Nothobranchius furzeri: one gene and its partners. The protein of the gene in region 2 purifies or fractionates together with the protein of the main gene of each other region. This does not show direct contact. Links are inferred from orthologs where the notes say so. Each region holds a gene or a part of one and is shown on either strand. Other genes may lie near its edges.

What was found.
Region 1: the proteins of peripheral plasma membrane protein CASK (region 2) and rho guanine nucleotide exchange factor 26 purify together in Homo sapiens (affinity purification with mass spectrometry; 3 studies listed by BioGRID and IntAct, with this or other methods). This does not show direct contact. The link is inferred for Nothobranchius furzeri from reciprocal best matches to the Homo sapiens genes CASK and ARHGEF26.
Region 3: the proteins of peripheral plasma membrane protein CASK (region 2) and sntb2 purify together in Homo sapiens (affinity purification with mass spectrometry; 3 studies listed by BioGRID and IntAct, with this or other methods). This does not show direct contact. The link is inferred for Nothobranchius furzeri from reciprocal best matches to the Homo sapiens genes CASK and SNTB2.

Annotation. Positions count from the first base shown.
Region 1 is NC_091753.1:51,579,490-51,583,141, forward strand, and holds part of rho guanine nucleotide exchange factor 26, read right to left. Parts: intron 3,054-3,652; coding exon 2,844-3,053; intron 1-2,843. UniProt on the Homo sapiens protein: Activates RhoG GTPase by promoting the exchange of GDP by GTP. Required for the formation of membrane ruffles during macropinocytosis. Required for the formation of cup-like structures during trans-endothelial migration of leukocytes.
Region 2 is NC_091754.1:50,587,565-50,591,216, reverse strand, and holds part of peripheral plasma membrane protein CASK, read right to left. Parts: intron 791-3,652; coding exon 612-790; intron 508-611; coding exon 385-507; intron 250-384; coding exon 166-249; intron 61-165; coding exon 1-60. UniProt on the Homo sapiens protein: Multidomain scaffolding Mg(2+)-independent protein kinase that catalyzes the phosphotransfer from ATP to proteins such as NRXN1, and plays a role in synaptic transmembrane protein anchoring and ion channel trafficking.
Region 3 is NC_091744.1:86,335,151-86,338,802, reverse strand, and holds part of sntb2 (beta-2-syntrophin), read right to left. Parts: intron 3,230-3,652; coding exon 3,087-3,229; intron 1-3,086. UniProt on the Homo sapiens protein: Adapter protein that binds to and probably organizes the subcellular localization of a variety of membrane proteins. May link various receptors to the actin cytoskeleton and the dystrophin glycoprotein complex.

The DNA of each region.
Region 1 (3,652 bases), on a different chromosome or scaffold from region 2:
ATCAGGCTCCTCGTTGAGTTGCTGAACAGGTGATTCAACCACTGAATCAGATGTGTTGGAGCAGCAAGGAAATGTCTAAAATATGCTGGTCAGCGGGCCTGGAGGAGCAGGGCTTTTGGACTAGCCTAGTGAACTAGACCAAAATGAACGCTCCACTGGAACCTCCACGGCCCCTAGCAGCATTCTGGCAGGCCAATCACAGCGCTCTATCGGCTTTGTGGGCGAAGCAAGGCGCTCTACTGGTGTGGTGGGTGGGTTGAAACAACGGAGGAGAGCAAGATGGCGACAACTCATTTGAAACTGCTTTTACATTTTGGACTATTTGGATTTGGTCTTTATTAGAATCAGGAGCAGATGAATGTATTTTATTAAGAAAAAGGAATATTTTTGCCTTCTTCAACAGTGGATTGCCTTGTTTACCGGCATCAGTTGCGGTGAGTACGTCACGTTGTTGGTTGTTCAGTAGAATGCGAGATCGTTGGAAAGACAACGGTAGAATCCCCCCACCCCATGACGAGAACCGTCAATGGAGCTACTTTTGGACACCACTGGACTGGTGTTTTCATTGTTGGGGCTCGGTGTGTGTGTGTGTGTGTGTGTGTGTGTGTGTGTGTGTGTGTGTGTGTGTGTGTGTGTTACGATGCAAATGTGCTCATCTGTGTGCCAGTTAACATGATGAAGGCATTAAATTGCGGCGGTGGATCAAAGCAACATGGTGTAGCTGAGATAATTTGTGAACGACGTTAAAAGCAGCTGATCTTGGTTCTGCTCCAAACAAACAGACGTTTGGAGCAGAGTAAATGTTGTTGTCAATGTGCTCCTGTACATCGGAAATGTTTAATCTTGAGATCCAATGAAAATGTTACCAATAATATTTATAATAATAACAATAATGATAATAATAGTTTCAAACACATGGAGAGCTGTGACTGGTCCATAATGGGGGGGCCAGTCATCTGCTTTGTGAACCAATCACCACGCTTTATCCGCTTTGTGGGCCAATCAAGACCCTCTCTTCGTCTGGTGGGCGGGATGATGCAACAGAGTGGAACAAGATGGCGACAGCTCGTTTGAAATGGCTTTCACATCAGTTTTGGACCATTTGGACGTGAGCTTTATTAGAATCAGGAGCTGATAGATGTATTTAAGTCCTCTTTTTTTAAGAAAAAGGATGTGTTTTCGCTTTCTTCAACAGCGGACTGCCTTGTTTACAGACATCCATTGCGATGACTACGTCACATTGTTCACTGTCCACTAGCATGCGGAGATTGTTTGATAGACAATGGTGGAACCCGCCCCACGACTGAGAGCCGTCAATGAGTATATGAAATATATTATTTAGTCTGGCTTGCCAGACTACCCAAAGACACTAATCAACAGTGAAAATGCACTGATTATTGGGTCTTTCACTCAGAAGGTTTATGAAACCAATTTTAATGTTTGGATTCATGTTTAAAGAGCAAGTCACCCCCTACCAGAGTCTTACTCCACCCACACTTCCTTTTTGAAAAATGCACCAAATGGAGGGTTTGCCTGGCGGGCCGAGAGGGCGGCGCTGCAACAGTGACTGACAGAGCTGCACCCCGCCACCCCCTCTCTGAGATTTTACGTCTGAGAAATTAGCCGCTAACAAACACACGTGCACACACACACTTACTGCTTGGACACAGAAACAGGAGCAGGCTTCCTAGTGGAGGATTTCTTCACCAGAGGAAGGAGAGGCAAGGAAAAGGGAGGAAGGATTAATGAAGGAGGCGAGCGGCTCCGAGCTGTATCTTTTCATATCGGCTCGTGAGTGGCTGAGCCAGCAGGAGGCGGGGCTAAGAGCGGCCACAATCAGAGATACTGGCTACCGTAGAAAATACCTGCTTTGAGTGACTCAATTCAAATGTCGTGCAAACATTTAAGCTACAGCAAAACTAAAGTTGATTTGGGGGTGACTTGCTCTTTAACACCGATTTCATAAAGTTTTTCTTTTAATGCTGGAAATGTAATTCGTCTATAATCGAACCTTTATAATTTCCACGTTTAAAAGCGTGAGTAACAGTTCTCTAACAAAGCCTGGAACCATAGCAGATAATTACTGTTTCATCTTGTGGGATTGTGTCTTTCAGCATGTAAACAAATAGGATGGAAAACATAAAGCACATCCCTTTTGTTGTGCAAGTTACGTAATCCGAACATCCGTGCTTTTCACTAACTGCTGCACAGAGAGAGAGGGAATAACGGTTTTTGAATATACTGACTAGAGCAAAGTTTTGAGGTTTTAAATTGGGTACATTAGCATTTAGGCTGCACATGTTACAAGCAGCTTTCTTCAGACTTGAACAGAAATAACTCAATACATCAATTATGTGGCTGAGTGAGTCTGTTTTACAGTGTAACAAAAAAAACAGTATTTCCTGGGTCACCCTCCAGAGCCGTTTATCCATTTTCTGATCAGATGTAAGAAAATATCCCTGCGACTGTAAATGGTGCAACAGAGACTATGAGAAAAGAGGTAAGAATGGAGGGGAAAGCTGTGTTCAAGTTAAAAGGCACACGGATGCATAAAGGAGATACGGGAGCAAACCTTATTCTCTCACAGGGATAAGCAGTCGCCCATTCAGCACATTAAAGGAACAGAGATTTAGTTTGCTGATTAAATCCCCAAACCGGTAAATCACACGCTGAATGAAACGAAGCAAGTAAAAACATGCAGGTGCACTGTTGTGTCGCAGGTGAACATGACTCACGGGTGCCTGAGGGTATGCGCTCTAGCAATAAGTAACCAAATTCAAAGTGGAAAACGATCAATGAAAACACAATTAGACGGAACGACGGTTTCAAAACTATGCACTTACAGCAGCTCCGTTCCAAGAATCATGGGCACCTTTACATCTGAGTGGTTGCTACGGAAACACAGGCGGAAGACGTGGCTGGCGCCGGGTTGCCGTGAGCCCAACATGCTGGTGGGGCTTTTGACCGGAGACAGGTTGAGCTCCTCCGGCTGGCAGGTGCCCACTTGGATCTGATCCCTCAGGGCGTAGTCGATCACGGAGTAGCTGTCCTCGCTGTTAAAATAAATAAATAAATACAGAAAAATTATGTTTATGTAATCAAGACTTGATCTCAGAGGCCGGGTCAATTTCAGCATTCAGCAACTTATTATGCAGACTCGTTTACAAACGAGCAGACGCTTTTTCTGGGACAGCGGTAGCTCAGAAGGTAGAGCAGGTTCTCCAGTAATCGGAAGGTTGCAGGTTCGGCCCCGGCTCCAACCAGAGGATGCTGCGGTTGTGTCCTTGGGCATGACACCTAACCCACCTTGTCTGCTGGTGGTGGTCAGAGGGATGGGTGGTGCCAGTGTTCGGAAAGCCTCGCCTCTGTTGGTGCTCCCCAGGGCAGCTGTGGCTACATCGTAGTTCATCCCCACCAGTGTGTGAATGGGTGAATGACTGATTGTGTTGTGAAGCGCTTTGGATGGTTGTAGTACCCCAAAAGGCCCTATACTAATACAGGCCATACACTTAATTGGTTTATTCAGCTTGTAAGTAAATAATCCCTCCCTGTTAACAGTAAATCAGTCTGGCTGCATGGAAACACAGCGCTCTTGAGTAAAAAGCACGTTTTATTGGAGCAGTAAAAAGAAAAGTATTTGAGAAAGTCAAAA
Region 2 (3,652 bases):
AGGAGGATCCCCGTAGTAGGAGTTAAACTTGTGGCTGGAAACAGCAGCCAGCACTGCACCCTGGAAAACACACGTGTGTTTTTAGACATGTTTGGAGGAAACGCCTCAAAACCAAATGACCAAACGTTAAAAAGAGACCACAGAATCTGTCACAGGGCGGCTAACCTTCAGCTTCCTCCTGGCGTTGAACTTCCTCAGCTGCTCCACCGTTTCAGGCAGGTGGATCTTGTAGGCGTACCTGTCCCTCTCCTGCAGGTGGAGAAGTCGGAAACATCAATGTGCTTATCACAAACCAGGGGATGTGGGGTGTAGTGTGACAGATGAGAAAGCAAAGCTGTGGCTTTGAGCCAGCTGGGGTAAAGGTGGCTGCGACTCATCTCTAACCTTCAGCCAGGGGTGGTTCAGGGCCTCGTAGACGGTGATCCTCTCTGCGGGGTCTAGCATCAGCATGCGTCTCACCAGGTCCTTGGCGCTCTCTGAAATGTGGGCCCACTGGCGCGGATTCATCTGCACAAAGATCAGCACTTTTGTAGAATTGTACAAAGCTCTCCTGAGTCTAAGCTAGCGACAAAATGAAGTGCAGCGAATGAGAGAAATGGTTTGATCACCACCACCTTGTATTTCCCCTTAATGATGGCCTCGAACAAGCGCTCCTTGGTGCCATAGAAGGGCAGGCAACCAGAGAGGAGGATGAAGAGGATGACTCCACACCCCCAAACGTCCACGGGCTTGCCGTACGGCTCCCTCTTCACCACCTCGGGGGCCATGAAGTGAGGCGTGCCAACACGACCTGAGGAGATTAGTTTGTATATTAGCCACCAAGAGGAACTGAGAGTGGAAATGAAACTAGTAACAGCCTGGCATCAGGGTCCGTAGAGCGTGAAATTACAACAACTTTAATTTGTGATTCTGTTAAATGGTTGGATTATAAAACAAATGAAATTCGGTTCACTGGTATTTTATCATTTATTATGGCTACCAGAACAAACGTTGGAAGTAACACCTAGACATCGCTCTTGGACTGCTGAAACTAATATTGGACAACTTTGTTTCCAGGAAAAACCACTCCGTTTTCTAGTATTTGTACTTTGTAGGAAGTAATGAGAAAGTCCTAAACAACTTGGAGAACAAAAAGGAAAAATATATATAAAAAGATACTTTGTAATGAACCACAGCCTCCCCTTTAACAAACCTTGGTTCACCTGGATAAAGTTCAATTTTTAATATGTTTTACTTGTTATATTAAACATTAGTATATCAATGATTTCCAAATCTTCTCCACTGGGCCTCCCTTTGTCGCACAACACCCCCTCCTTGAGCACACTTGCATACACACACACTTTGTTTTATTTACATTTTTTTCACATCGTAAAGCTTTTTTGAACGACTGGACAAATGACAGTAAACTGCGATAATATATAACAGGTTGCAATTAAATAAACTACAACCTATTTTAAGTATCAGAAAATCAAACCACCTTTACAGAGTTACTAAACATTTCTGCTCAACCCTCATCTCTGCAAGAGAGGGTCGAGGATTTTACACTAATTTATAAAAGTTGGATGTCATCTGCATAAAGATGGTGGCAGATTCCTTTAAAGGAACTCAGGACGTGCTGAAGAGGAAGCAGATAGAGGAGGAAGAATAGAGGCCCCAGCACAGAGCCTTGTGGGACACCATGGGTGAGGGATGTGGTGGAGGACCAAAACTTGGAGATGTCCAGCAGGACCAGAACAGAAAAGTCCTCTGCATCACTGTGGGTCAGAAGGTCATTAGAGACCCTAAGAAGAGCTGTTTCAGTAGAATGAGCTCTACGCAAACCTGACTGTAAGCAATCATAGGTGTTCAGTTCATTAAGAACAGCTGTTAGATGTTTAGCCACAACCTTTTCCAAGATCTTGGAGATGAACGGAAGTTTAGAGATGGGTCTGAAGCTGCTATGGAGAGAGGGGTCAAGACTGGGATTTTTAGGAGGAGAGTGAATTACAGCATTCTAAAAGGGGGACCTGACCAGAAACCAGAGAAGCGTTAATTACAGAGAGCACGCTGGAGCCGATGGACTGAAAAGCATTCTTAAACAAAGATTAGTAAGATGTCAAGGGGGCATGCAGAGGTCTTCATAGAGTTAACTCGTTTGGTTAGCTCAGGCAGAAACAGGAGCAAAACTATCTAGAATGACGGGCCGGGTTTGGGTCGGAACAGAGATAAAGCTGAATTAGAGATGCTAGATCTAACCTTACTGACTTAGTCCACAAAATAAGTTGGGGGGGGGGGGGGGGGGTAATGCCCATCAGAGTGAAAGGAGGCTGTAGGTAAAGCAGGAGAAACAATGCTGCTGATCAACACCTTGGGATTCCCTTTGCTCCAAGACACCAGGTTGAAGAAACATGCAACCCTCGCATCTCTGACCACAGATTTAAAGATTTGCAATTCATCATTGTTTTCAAAAAATGTGTAATATGTATATGTACATAGAACAAGTGTCGCAAAAAAGATTGCTGATTTGATGTGGAAGTTTGCAATGTCCCGTCGCTAATAAAAAACGATGGCCGACGGTTGAATAATTCCTTTAATCACCTAACCTTAGTATATTCTGATATTCTAATATATCAGAAAACTATTTATTCAGAGGCAAAACTGTCATTATTTACAAAAACATGGCATAAAGAAATGAGGAAACTATCAGGAGTGCATGAACATTTGCTGTCCGTGGTTTTTTGTGTATGCATGGATGACTGAGGCTGTTGGATGTTTGTTGTCAAACTGGACCCTTCGGTGAGATTGCTCCGATTGGCTGCTCAGCCAGGGGTGTTACTGCTGAAAGGAAACAAGTGAGTGGATGGCAACAAATGTCACGAGCAGAACTTATTCTTAGCTCTCCAAAAGGAGGAACCGCTTCGAGAAGAACAAGCAGCTTTGTTTGATTGTTGCGTGTTTAAAGGACATGTTTCAGCTTTACGTGCGTCTGAGGGTGTTCTTTTTATAATTTTAACCCCATTTCAGAGGGAGTTGATGCTTTTTTGAGCACGGCCTTGAAAGAAAAGGTTGTTTGAATTTTGTAAACCAGTGAATGAAATCAAGTTGGAAACAAAGATATTATGAAACCATTCCTTAATTGTAACAACAGTAGTTTTTAACGGATTAATCTACTGGATTGGGTTGGGCAACATTATAACTCAAAACCTTTAAATTTAATTAAAAGTTAACTTAATTTATATGGAATTACATTTATAAACAGTAAAGATTTACTCAAGTGGATTATTTTCTATTTAGTCAAATTAAATGAACAACTTTAACTAAAATTAGCATCATCATGAGGGTAAGAAGGGCAGAATAATGAAGCTTGAAAATCGATATTTTAAGGTTTTATAACTAATTTGCCCATTTTTCTTTATTCTTACCTTATTTCTTTTATCCCTTCCTACATTAAAGTTCTTTGGTAACACTTTAAAATAAGGGTCCCTTTAGTTATGTAACTTGGCGCATTATTAAGCATTAATATACTATTAAAGTAACAACTGCTTTATATAAACGTTAATATTAAGTAATGCATTATTAAGCAAAACACCCCTCACGTCTTTGTCCTAACCTTAAGGACAATTCGTAGTTAATATCGTGGAAGTTAATAGAGGGATCCTTTGTTTATTAATGC
Region 3 (3,652 bases), on a different chromosome or scaffold from region 2:
CATAAAAGTGATGAACAGAACCGGTGACAAAGGGCAGCCCTGGCGGAGTCCAACCCTCACTGGGAACAGGTCCGACTTACTACAGGCTATGCAGACCAAACTCACGCTCCTCTGGTAAAGGGACTGAATGGCCCTTAACAAAAGGCCACCCACCCCATACTCCTGGAGCGTCCCCCACAGGGTGCCCCTGGGGACATGGTCATAAGCCTTCTCCAAATCCACAAAACACATGTGGATTGGTTGGGAAAACTCCCATGCCCCCTCCATCACCCTTGCAAGGGTATAGAGCTGGTCCACAGTTCCACGGCCAGGACGAAAACCACATTGCTCCTCCTCTATCTGAGATTCAACTATCGATCGGACCCTCCTCTCCAGTACCATGGAGTAGACCTTTCCAGGGAGGCTGAGGAGTGTGATCCCCCTATAGTTGGAACACACCCTCAGGCCACCCTTCTTAAAGATGGGGACCACCACCCCGGTCTGCCACTCCACAGGAACTGCCCCCGATGACCACGCAATGTTGCAGAGACGTGTCAACCATGACAACCCTACAACATCCATAGCCTTGAGATACCCAGGACGAACCTCATCTGTCCCCGGGGCTCCGCCGCTGTGTAGTTGTTTGACTACCTCAGCAACTTCTGCCCCCGAGATTGGACAGTCCATCCCCAGGTCTCCCGGCTCTGGTTCCTCCTCGGAATGCGCATTGGTGGGATTGAGGAGCTCCTCAAAGTATTCCTTCCACCGTCCGACTATTGCCCCAGTTGACGTCAGCAGCTCCCCATCCCCACTGTAAACAGTGTGAGCGAGTTGCTGCCTTCCTCTCCTGAGGCACCGGACAGTTTGCCAGAACCTCTTTGGAGCCGATCGATAGTCTTTCTCCATGGCCTCACCAAACTCCTCCCACGCCCGAGATTTTGCCTCGGCAACTGCCACTGCTGCACCCCGCTTGGCTATCCGGTACCTGTCTGCTGCCTCCAGAGACCCACAGACCAGCCACGCCCTGTAGGCCTCCTTCTTCAGCCTGATGGCTCCCCGAACCTTTTGTCCACCAGCGGGTACGGGGGTTGCCACCACGACTGGCACCGGCCACCTTGAGACCACAGCTAGCAACAGCCGCCTCAACAATCGCAGAATGGAACAAGGCCCACTCAGAGTCGATGTCCCCCACTGCTCTCGGGATGCGGTCAAAGCTCTGTCGGAGGCGGGAGTTGAAGACCGTCTTAAAAGGTTCTTCTGCCAGGCGTTCCCAGCAGACCCTCACTATGCGTTTGGGTCTGCCAGGTCTACACAGCATCCTCCCCTGCCATATGATCCAACTCACCACCAGGTGGTGATCAGTTGACAGCTCCGCTTCTCTCTTCACTCGGGTGTCCAAAACATACGGCCGCAGGTCAGATGATACGACTACAAAGTCTATCATCGACGTGCGATCTAGGCTGCCCTGGTACCAAGTGTACCGATGGGCATCCATATGTTCGAACATGGTGTTCGTTATGGCCAAACTGTGGCTTGCACAGAAGTCCAATAACGAAACACCACTCGAGTTCAGATCAGGCGGGCTGTTCCTCCCAATCACACCCCTCCAGGTCAAGCTGTCATTGCCCACGTGAGCATTGAAGTCCCCCAGCAGGACAATGGAGTCCCCTGATGGAGCACTATCTAGCACTCGTCCTAGAGACTCCAAAAAGGGTGGGTACTCTGAACTGATATTTGGCCCATAAGCACAAACAACAGTCAGGACCCGTTCCCCGACCCAAAGGCGGAGGGAAGCTACCCTCTCATCCCCCGTGGTAAACCCCAACACACAGGCAGAGAGTCTTGGGGCTAACAAAAAGCCAACCCCAGCCCTCCCCCTCTCACCCGGAGCAACTCCAGCAAAGGAGAGTGTCCAACCCCTCACAAGGACTTGGGTTCCAGAGCCAATGCTATGTGTCGAGGTGAGTCCGACTATATCTAGCCGGTACCGCTCAACCTCTGCCACAAGCTCCTGCTCCTTCCTCGCCAGCGAGGTGACGTTCCATGTCCCAAAAACCAGTTTTCTTGTCCGGGGATCGGACCGCCAAGGCTCCCGCCTTGGTCTGCCACCCGATCCACACTGCACCCGACCCTTCATGTTCCTCCTGCGGGTGGTGGGTCCACAGTTGGATGAGCCCATGTATCCGGTCCGGGTTGAGCCTGGCCGGGCCCCATGGGCGAAAGCCCGGCCACCAGTCCTCTTGGTCCTTGTTCTGGTTTTCTAAAAGCCTGTGTTAACAACCTTGGTGTGTTTTTAGACGGTTCTTTTAATCTTCACAGACAGGTGAGTGCAGTGGTCCAATCAGGTTTTTATCAACATGTCACCCACCTGTTCGTGTCCTGCCGATTGGACTACTGCAGGCCCCTGTATTCTGGCCTGGACCAGTCCTCCCTACACCGACTTCAGCTGTTCCAAAATGCAGCGGCCCGCTTGCTGACTGGAATCAGCAAGCGGGATCACATAACCCCGGTTCTGGTCTCTCTCCATTGGCTTCCTGTCTCTTACAGGATCCATTTCAAAATTTTACTTTTTGTTTTTAAATCCCTTCATGGCCTGGCCCCAGTTTACATCTCTTAGCTGCCGTCTGCTTACGTCCCCGCCAGAACCATGAGGTCCAGCTCTCAAGCTCTTTTAACAGTTCCAAAAACCCGCCACAAGACTCGCGGCGACAGAGCGTTCTCTGTGGTTGGGCCCAAACTGTGGAACAAGCTACCTCTCAACATCAGGACCACACAGAGTCTAGAGCATTTTAAATCCCTTCTTAAGACGCATTTTTTTGATTTGGCTTTTAATGCAGGCTGACTTGAGCATCTTGATAGTTTTTAACAGTTTTTATCATAGATTGTGACTGTTGTGTGTTCATCTTATTTTAGTTTTTATTGTTGATCTGTTGTATCTTGATTTGTTTTACCTTGTACAGTGCTTTGGTGTAGCTTTGCTGCGGTAAATGCGCTCTATAAATAAAGTTGACCTTGACCTTCTGTTCTAGCTTAATTACACTGGAGATGCTACTCAATAAAGAAATGAAAGCACATAAAGCTTGTTGTGATTTTGGATCGGCCTCTACCTGGTGGCGAGCAGCGGGTGTGTGAGCACAGGCATGGACCAGGACTCTCGGCTCCACGGCACCGACTCAAACAGGAGGATGTCTTTTTCTGTCAGCGCCATGACCAGCGGCCGGAACTGCTGCCGCCCGCCTTCCAGCTGGATCTGAATCAGGAACGTCAGTCAGGATCAGCAGGAAACTCTTATAAAAGACGTGTTTTTATCAGGATTCCTTACGGGAATTAATTAGACAACATATCGTCATTTTTGTCAAGTCATGCTTCAGGTCTGCTTTTAAAACTCTAGATGTGAAAAAACTGCATCCTCACCCACCGTGTCTGAATTTAAACACAACATGATATCAGGGCAGATAAATGAACAGAGCTGCTCCTTATGAACTCATCCTGCATCTCTAACAGAGAAAATGTGAATTTCGCTTTAATAAAAACATCTTTTGCACATTTTTTTAGTGTTTCAAACTCCACAGGTTGTATAAACAGCAATTTATCTGCTTAAACTCACAATTTTACCAGAATTTTTCTGAAAAATCGGGTTTGTGGATAAAATACTGGATTCATTCAGACTTTT